Daphnia pulex: one gene and its partner. Each later gene encodes a partner of the first gene's protein in a complex. Links are inferred from orthologs where the notes say so. Each region holds a gene or a part of one and is shown on either strand. Other genes may lie near its edges. The genes, in order: eukaryotic translation initiation factor 3 subunit J-like and eukaryotic translation initiation factor 3 subunit L-like.

Region 1 (3,481 bases):
TTTAAAATACGGGAAAACTTGTTGCTTACATTTTGTTGAAGCAGTCGGTTTCTTGCGTTTGCTAAAGGCAAAAACTCTGCTCCGTTAACTTCTTTTAGTTCCATTTTCTTGCTCAACTTGTGCTCTATCACTCCAGAAATTCATTAACGAACTTTCTCACAGTGAAACGCCATATAACGAGTTAGAAGTATCGACCAAACAACCACTTTTATGCCACTACTAGTCTGCTACTCAGCAGGAAACGCACGTGCTTCATTTATTGATTAGGCATGCAGCCGGCTGCCACGGCAACGATTTCCATTACATTTTAAAAACAAAACCCCCCTAATCCCCTCTCTTACGCCCACTGGGTATCAAATAAGGATTCACCAGTATACAAATTTGCGGGGTACTCAAAACTCAAATTTAAAAAAATAAATATTGAAAGTTATTTGCTTACTTTTGACAGTGTGTAGCATTCAATGGGACAAATACATCTAACTACATCTAACTTTACAACTGTCACCATCTCCTTTTTTGACGCTAAAAGTAGAAAACTGGAACGTCTAAGAAAATATGCAACTTAACTCTATATATTGAATTAGAATAATTAAGAGGGAGGTTTTAACTTTTAACAGAAATTCAATCTCAATATATCTTAAAACACTGAAAAAACTGACAAGAGCAAAATGGCAAAATCATACATTTATTTTACCAATAAACCTTTTCCCGCCAAAAACAAAAGAAAAACAATTGGACCCTACATGAAGTCGTCATAGTCTCCTCCTCCGAAATCATCACCGAAGTTGTCGACCATTCCTTTGTCCATTTTTAAAGCAACTTTTGTTTTTCCTTTCTTTCCACCTTTTGTCGCCGCCTTCACCATCTTGAGTTTTTCTTCGTGCAAGGATTTGGTAGTTAGACTAACTTTTCTAAGGACTTCGACTTCCACTATGTTGAAAAACTGGGATGTAGAAAAGTTTTTAGCAACCAACATTAGAAAATGTGACTTACATCCAATGCAAACATCTTTAATGAAGTCCTCTATAAAATCATTATAGCACGCTTTAGTTGACAATGACTGAAGTTTTTTCACCAAGTTGTTCTTGAATTCTGAGAATTCCTCTTTAGATGAAGGGTTTGCTTCATCTATGCTTCCCTCTGTAGGCAAACTACCAGTAATTCCTGGAAAATAAAAATAACATTGAGAACAAAATATAAAACAAATCATGCTTAGTGCAGGTCAGCAATACAGTTTCCTAAGACAACTTACCAAAGGTTTCCTTGGCCATTTCAAAATCTGATTCTTCAACTAGTTTTTGTCTCCGAAGCTTTTCTGCTATTCTCTCTTCAGGTGTCATGTTTGCTTCCTGCAATATTTTTCTGGCTTCAGCTTCTTCTCTGCTTTTCTTTTCTTTTTCGGCTATTTTTTCTTCTAATCTTTTACTTGACTTTTTTTTGGTAGCCTGAAAGTAACAAACACATTTTAAATTTTTTGGATACTTTTACGAGAGATCACATGTACTTACTGTGGCTGCTGCTTTGACTTCAGCAGGCTTATTTTCTGTTTCTTCATCTTCCCAGCTATCCTATCATTTATAAACAAGAAAAAATGATAATTTTGAAATCAATCACAACTTTATGTAAAACTCATTGAGCAATAAGAATTTTTTGGCAAAAGAAGACACATGGTAGTCAAGTGAAAGTTGTAAGAATTGGAGCAGAAATAGAAAGGTACTGAGAGAACTTTTTTTCACTACAAGCGCTACAAGGTTCTACCAAATTTGTAGATATACTTACTACTAATATCATCACAATTGAATTACAACTCACCTTGACAGGTTCATCTTCATCCTCACCTTCCCATTTATCTGAAATTATGGCAGTCGTAACTGGAACAGGGACAGAGGGTTCAAAATCTTCGGCATCTATAATCACCACAAAATCGTATTTGATTAGAGTATACGATTAAATGGAACTTTGATATGCACTATTGAGAATTTCATACAAAAAACAGGTGGAATTGAATAACTTAATATAGAAATAATTAAATAAAATCACCCCAATCCGCCTCGGCCTCCATCTTCAACGAAAAATCGTGAACACACTAGTGTCCATGGCAGTTGCCAAATGCTTTCACTTTTCTAATAATGTTAATATGTGCATTACAAAATATTAAATATAGAAACCTAACAATAATTAAATTTTGAAACTTTATTGCAAACCTTTTATTATGAATTATTTAATTTTTTTTACCTGAGATATCTCGTTAATCCCAGCGTTGCTTAGTCTAGTGTTTCTGTCTTCCAGAGGCGCTAGTGTTTGCCTGTTTCCGAACTGCTTTTCTCTGACATTACCTGTTATTTAGCAATTGATAGGAGTTTCTGTCTGTATTAGTTGAGTTGACGTTTCACGGTGACCGTCGAAACAAAAGTTACCGCAAATTGGAGTAACAAAGTGACCGAAGTTAAAAAAAGAAATATTTGATAATGTCTGGATTTGATCAGAATCCTTTTGCAGAACCGGCTGTTTTCAACCCGTTTGCGGTAGATTATTTATAATATGTATATTATACTTACTATTACCATACTAATACCTTGGTTGAAAACTGGTGATTCATGGAGTACTCGCCGCATACAATATGAAAGAAAACCTTTTGAAAAATCACCTTGTTTATTAGTTTAGTGGTAAAGTGGTTGTTTACTTTCACAATAGGATCCATCTGTCCAGCAAGCTGCAGGAAACAATGCTGCGAGAGCTCAGCAAGGTCTTGAAGAATACAACCCTTTTGATGGTAGTAATCAAACTACCAGAGTTTCAATGGTAAAACATAATTTTATCATGAAAGTGGGAAGTGTGTTTGATTTGTTACAAAATTTAAGGACCGTGTTGGTGGAGCCAATCCACCCCCAACAATTCAAGCTGCCCCAGTGATATCTCCAGGACCACAACAACAAGCAGCTATGTCAAATGCGGATTTTCAAGTATTAAAACTTAAAAAGAAAGAAGGAAATCTTTATTCATTATATTGCATGGTTTTATAGAGACGTCAAGAAGAACTAGAGAAGAAAGCTCAAGAATTGCAGAGGCGAGAAGAAGAATTAAAGAATAATGTACCATTCAACTGTAGGAGAGAACAAATTTAAATGAAACTTTACTTTTTAATTTCTGTTATTTACTTCTTCATTACAGCTCAGCGCAATAATTGGCCACCACTGCCTGACAAGTTTTGTGTCCAACCATGCTTCTATCAAGACATCAATGTGGAAATCCCACTTGAATTTCAAAAAATTGTCCGCATGTTATACTATATTTGGATGCGTAAGTTAAACATATCATAGATTTCTTGTTTAAGTTTATTTTTGTTATCAGAAACTTTTATTGATTTTGTTTTGTTTCTTTATTTTCAGTGCACACCCTCATGTATCTTCTAAATGTTTTGGGCTGCTTAGCCTTATTCATTCAAGTGGGAAGTGGTGCCATGTTTGGCTTGTCAATCCTA
Region 2 (4,311 bases), on another chromosome or scaffold:
TGGGCATAAAAAAGGTGTCTTGCACACCGGTCTTTCACTGCAGCAAACCATGTCAAATATCTTATCATTCTAAAATAATGAAAATATAATATTTACCTTGGCTCCAATCTGGTTACCACACTGTCCAGCTTGAATATGAACGATTTCACGCATTTTCTAATATTTTTCGAAATGAAATTGAAAGAGAAAAACTCTCAAGTTTAACGGTCAACGTGCCTCGCGCTGGAATCCTCTGGATATGAATTTCCGTTTGCAATGGGACTGGCATTTATAACCTCATGAACAGCCTTGGGTGCAAGAGGGCGGAGCTTGATTGTGTTGCGCATTGCCATTGGTCCACGAAATCAAACATGAAAGCCAAATCCTTATTGGGAGATTCGAAATTTGCGTCCGCGCGTTTCGGTTATTTTTTGCTCCTAGAGATGCAGAGTTTATATGTTTCTGTATATAGTTGGCTGAATATTAAAAAACGGAGATATGACCCAATCAAAATTCTAAATAAGTAGAGAAATATTTGCAGGGCAACGTTTTTGGTTTGTCTCTAGTTCCTTTTATTGAACGTTATAATCTTAAACTTCAAAAAATGCCTGCTTCCATTTAAGTTCAGTAAAATATTAGAATTAAATATAAAGTTTCGATTAAAGATAAGATAACCCACTTATTGTCATCGGTGTGGCGAATATGGTAAGAAATAACACGCTTTGAAAATTCATTCCTTTTCCGTGGTTGGTATGTGATTGAAATATTGCCAATTACGTCTCTAAAAGGAAAGAAAACCGGGAACCGTATAAATTCAAAAACCAGTTTGTACGGCATCATGGTTTGCGATTTTCGAGTTGATTTCAAAGTAATAAAACCTGTTCGGCACTATTAACCATTGACTCCAGCATAGTTTTATGTAATCCTGCTTAAATGCATTAGGCATAATGGTCACATGAAACCACAAAACACTTATTCCAAACATGGCAAATAATCACCATGACAGCAGTACACACATGTATGCCGGTGAATCACGCGACAGGGGACGAGCCGGAGCCGGCGAGAAACGTAAAAACTCGGTCCCAGTTGTAGCAGACCTCTGCCAGACACGATCAATACTTATGTGTCTAGACAACCCATCCTGCAACTGCAACAAATCCACCTCAGCAGTGTTTTTATGGTTCCTGGGAAACACAGCCTGAATGCAGCTATTGGAGTGCTTGATGTCTTCATCCGTAAATTTGAAACAATTTTGGTAACCATTTTCTTTGAATATTTACTTCCTGATCAACTTTTGATCATGATTTGATATACTTGCTATAAAACAGAAAAACAGAATTGTAATGGCAGTCCCGTTTAGCATTGAAATCTGTTAAGTTTAAGGTAAATTAATCTCAACCGGAGTAAATAAGTTTGACGATCGATTTTTACATTCGAATTTTTGACAGATGATCTTTTGGAAAATTGTTGAGTACATGCGGCAACGCTGTGCAGCTACTATTATTTGACACTAGAGCCACTAGTAATCGAAATAGTAATCTTACTCGTGGACTTTTCTCAATTTTCCGCAATTTTCAATTGAAATTTAATAACTATCGGTATTGAAAAACCTAAAAGATGTATGCCGAAGAATTTGAGGATGTAAGTGTACAATAATTACAACATGTTCTGTACCTATCATCAAAAACTTTTTCATTTGTAGTACGAGTATGAAGCCGATGCCTATGAGCCAACCGGGGATCCACGGCTTGATGCTGAAAATGAACGATACACTAGCTATGGAAGTGCTCCCCAATATGCTCAATATAGCATGCCGGATGTGATCAAGAAATTCATTATTTATTTTCGAGAGATGGTAAACTCTGGAAAGTTGTATGAAATTCAGAATGTCTACGAGAACACGTAAGCCCACCACAGTGCCTGTCAGACAAAGTTGAATTGTTGATCCATTGTTTTTTACTCCATTTAGATTTCCAAAATTAACTGAAGAGCACTTCAAATCATCCCCTTGGCCTGATGCAGATGAAGTTTCCCCATTAGTGGATGATGATCAACCGTTTCTGATTCTCTACAAGGAACTTTACTATCGCCACATTTATGCACGAATCCAAGGAGGACCAACAATTGAACAACGTTTTGAGTCTTACTACAACTACTGTCAACTTTTCAACCATATTTTGAGTACTAACTTCACTAATTTTTAGATGTTTGCCCAAAGCCTTCATAAACCATTTTACTACAGGTGCTAAAAGTCCAGTTGTTTTGGAGCTTCCTCATCAATGGCTGTGGGAAATAATTGATGAATTTGTCTACCAGTTCCAGTCTTTTGCTCTTTTTCGTTGTTCTCTTCATAAGAAATCAGGTACACCCATCATCTTATGCTCCATCTTTTCTTTTCTCACCATTTTTTTTTTTTTTTTACAGCTGAAGAACTTGAATTCATCAGAATCAACCCAACTTTGTGGAACATTCATTCTGTATTGAATGTGTTGTATTCTTTGGTTGACAAATCCAATATCAACCAACAATTGGAAGTAAGAAGGAGAGAATCATTATTGGTTGTAATTTAAAATTAATACAATCGATATGTAGGTATACGCCAAAGGTGATGATCCCGATACCGTAGCAGGAGAATTTGGCCGCCGACCTCTTTATAAAATGTTGGGTTACTTCAGTCTTGTTGGATTACTGAGACTCCACTCATTATTAGGAGATTTCTATCAAGCTGTTAAGGTTCTTGAAAATATGGAACTCAATAAAAAGGTAAGCGCAAAATTAAAAATGATTTGCATTGCTTGTAAACGTAATCCATCAATCTCATTTTAGACTCTGTACTCCAGAGTACCTGCCTGCCAAATCTCAACTTACTATTATGTTGGTTTTGCTTATTTGATGATGAGGCGGTATGCTGATGCTATTCGGACGTTTTCCCATATTCTACTCTACGTCCAGCGCACTAAGCCATTATACCAGGCTAAAACATACCAAAATGACCAGGTCAATTAGATTTAAGTGAAATGAAATACTGAAATCTTAATCTCCTTTTTTGTGTTTATAGATCAACAAACAAACCGAAAAAATGTACGTTCTACTGTCGGTGTGCCTCGTTCTTCATCCTCAGCGCATCGACGAATCTCTACAGGCGATCCTGCGAGAGAAACCTCATGCCGAACGCATCGTGCGGATGCAAAAGGGAGAACTTCAAGTGAGTTTCTGTTGATATTTTTTAAAGTTAAAGCAACAATTTAAATTTGTTCAATTATGTTAGGAATTCGAAAATGCATTCGCTTTCGCTTCTCCGAAATTTTTGTCTCCTGTTCCACCTCCTGTCGAAGCACCACCTGCCGATCATCGCCGTGAACCATTTCAACAGTTGGCAAAAGTTTTCATGGATGAAGTACAACAGCAACTTACTTTGCCAACGATTCGCAGGTATTTGTTCAACATTAGATTTGAATGTCCGAGTATTATTAACATAAATTTTCTGTTTAGTTATCTACGTTTGTACACTACTATGCCTGTCGCCAAAATGGCTGCGTTTTTGGAAATGCCCGATACTGATTTCCGCACCCATCTGCTATGCTTCAAACATAAGATGAAGAACGTCGTTTGGACTAAAGGCACCTCTGGATTGGACGGTGAACTCCAATCAGGCTCTGAGGTGAAATATCTTAGAATTGTAGTTCTAGTGGAATGTATCTTATTTACGCTTTTGCTCGCATTAGGTGGACTTCTATATCGATGGCGGAATGATCCATATTGCTGACACGAAAGTAGCTCGGCGCTATGGTGATTACTTCATTAGACAAATCCATAAATTCGAGGAAATTAACCGCGTATTGAAGACACAAAAAGTTTAAAAATCCGATGCTTTACCTCCTTTAAATATGTTTTACATCTTATTGGTTTTTCAAAGGCAAAATACATAACATGGAGGAAGTTAGTGATTTTTAACTTTTTTTAAAGAGAATTTTTTTCTTACCTTTAAGTCCGACAAGTTACAAGGAAGTCAAATGAAATGAATGTAAGGCCACCAGTGATGTTATGTACGTTTCTCTTATTTTTGAATGTATTCAAATGATAAGATTATTTTTATTAGAGAACATTTTTTAAATAATTGGACCGAAGATCTTACTAGAAATGTAGACCATTGGCATCCTCATAGGAAATGTAAAAAAAAAAAAATGCTATCTAAAATCAAACAAGGGGAATTCAAACACACAAGGGCAATTTGAAAATTTTCAGTTTCAGTCAAAGCATCAGTAGGGAATATGAGTTTTTTTTTCATGAAAAAAAGCACTAACAAAAAGGATGACACGCATTACCCACGGC

Evidence for each region.
Region 2: eukaryotic translation initiation factor 3 subunit J-like (region 1) and eukaryotic translation initiation factor 3 subunit L-like share a complex: the UniProt entries of both Homo sapiens proteins name them as parts of the eukaryotic translation initiation factor 3 (eIF-3) complex. The link is inferred for Daphnia pulex from reciprocal best matches to the Homo sapiens genes EIF3J and EIF3L.

The regions. Positions count from the first base shown.
Region 1 is NC_060019.1:7,843,226-7,846,706, forward strand, and holds eukaryotic translation initiation factor 3 subunit J-like, read right to left. Parts: upstream 2,128-3,481; 5' UTR 2,063-2,127; coding exon 2,041-2,062; intron 1,908-2,040; coding exon 1,813-1,907; intron 1,569-1,812; coding exon 1,509-1,568; intron 1,446-1,508; coding exon 1,253-1,445; intron 1,165-1,252; coding exon 994-1,164; intron 931-993; coding exon 740-930; 3' UTR 666-739; downstream 1-665. Other genes in the region: coiled-coil domain-containing protein 39-like, read right to left, coding at 30-104; secretory carrier-associated membrane protein 2-like, read left to right, coding at 2,469-2,525, 2,695-2,802, 2,862-2,963, 3,024-3,105, 3,172-3,300, 3,390-3,481. UniProt on the Homo sapiens protein: Component of the eukaryotic translation initiation factor 3 (eIF-3) complex, which is required for several steps in the initiation of protein synthesis.
Region 2 is NC_060018.1:1,452,530-1,456,840, reverse strand, and holds eukaryotic translation initiation factor 3 subunit L-like, read left to right. Parts: upstream 1-1,450; 5' UTR 1,451-1,596; coding exon 1,597-1,620; intron 1,621-1,681; coding exon 1,682-1,881; intron 1,882-1,948; coding exon 1,949-2,160; intron 2,161-2,221; coding exon 2,222-2,341; intron 2,342-2,403; coding exon 2,404-2,513; intron 2,514-2,571; coding exon 2,572-2,742; intron 2,743-2,805; coding exon 2,806-2,976; intron 2,977-3,037; coding exon 3,038-3,184; intron 3,185-3,247; coding exon 3,248-3,411; intron 3,412-3,471; coding exon 3,472-3,640; intron 3,641-3,704; coding exon 3,705-3,839; 3' UTR 3,840-3,922; downstream 3,923-4,311. Other genes in the region: tubulin beta chain, read right to left, coding at 97-153. UniProt on the Homo sapiens protein: Component of the eukaryotic translation initiation factor 3 (eIF-3) complex, which is required for several steps in the initiation of protein synthesis.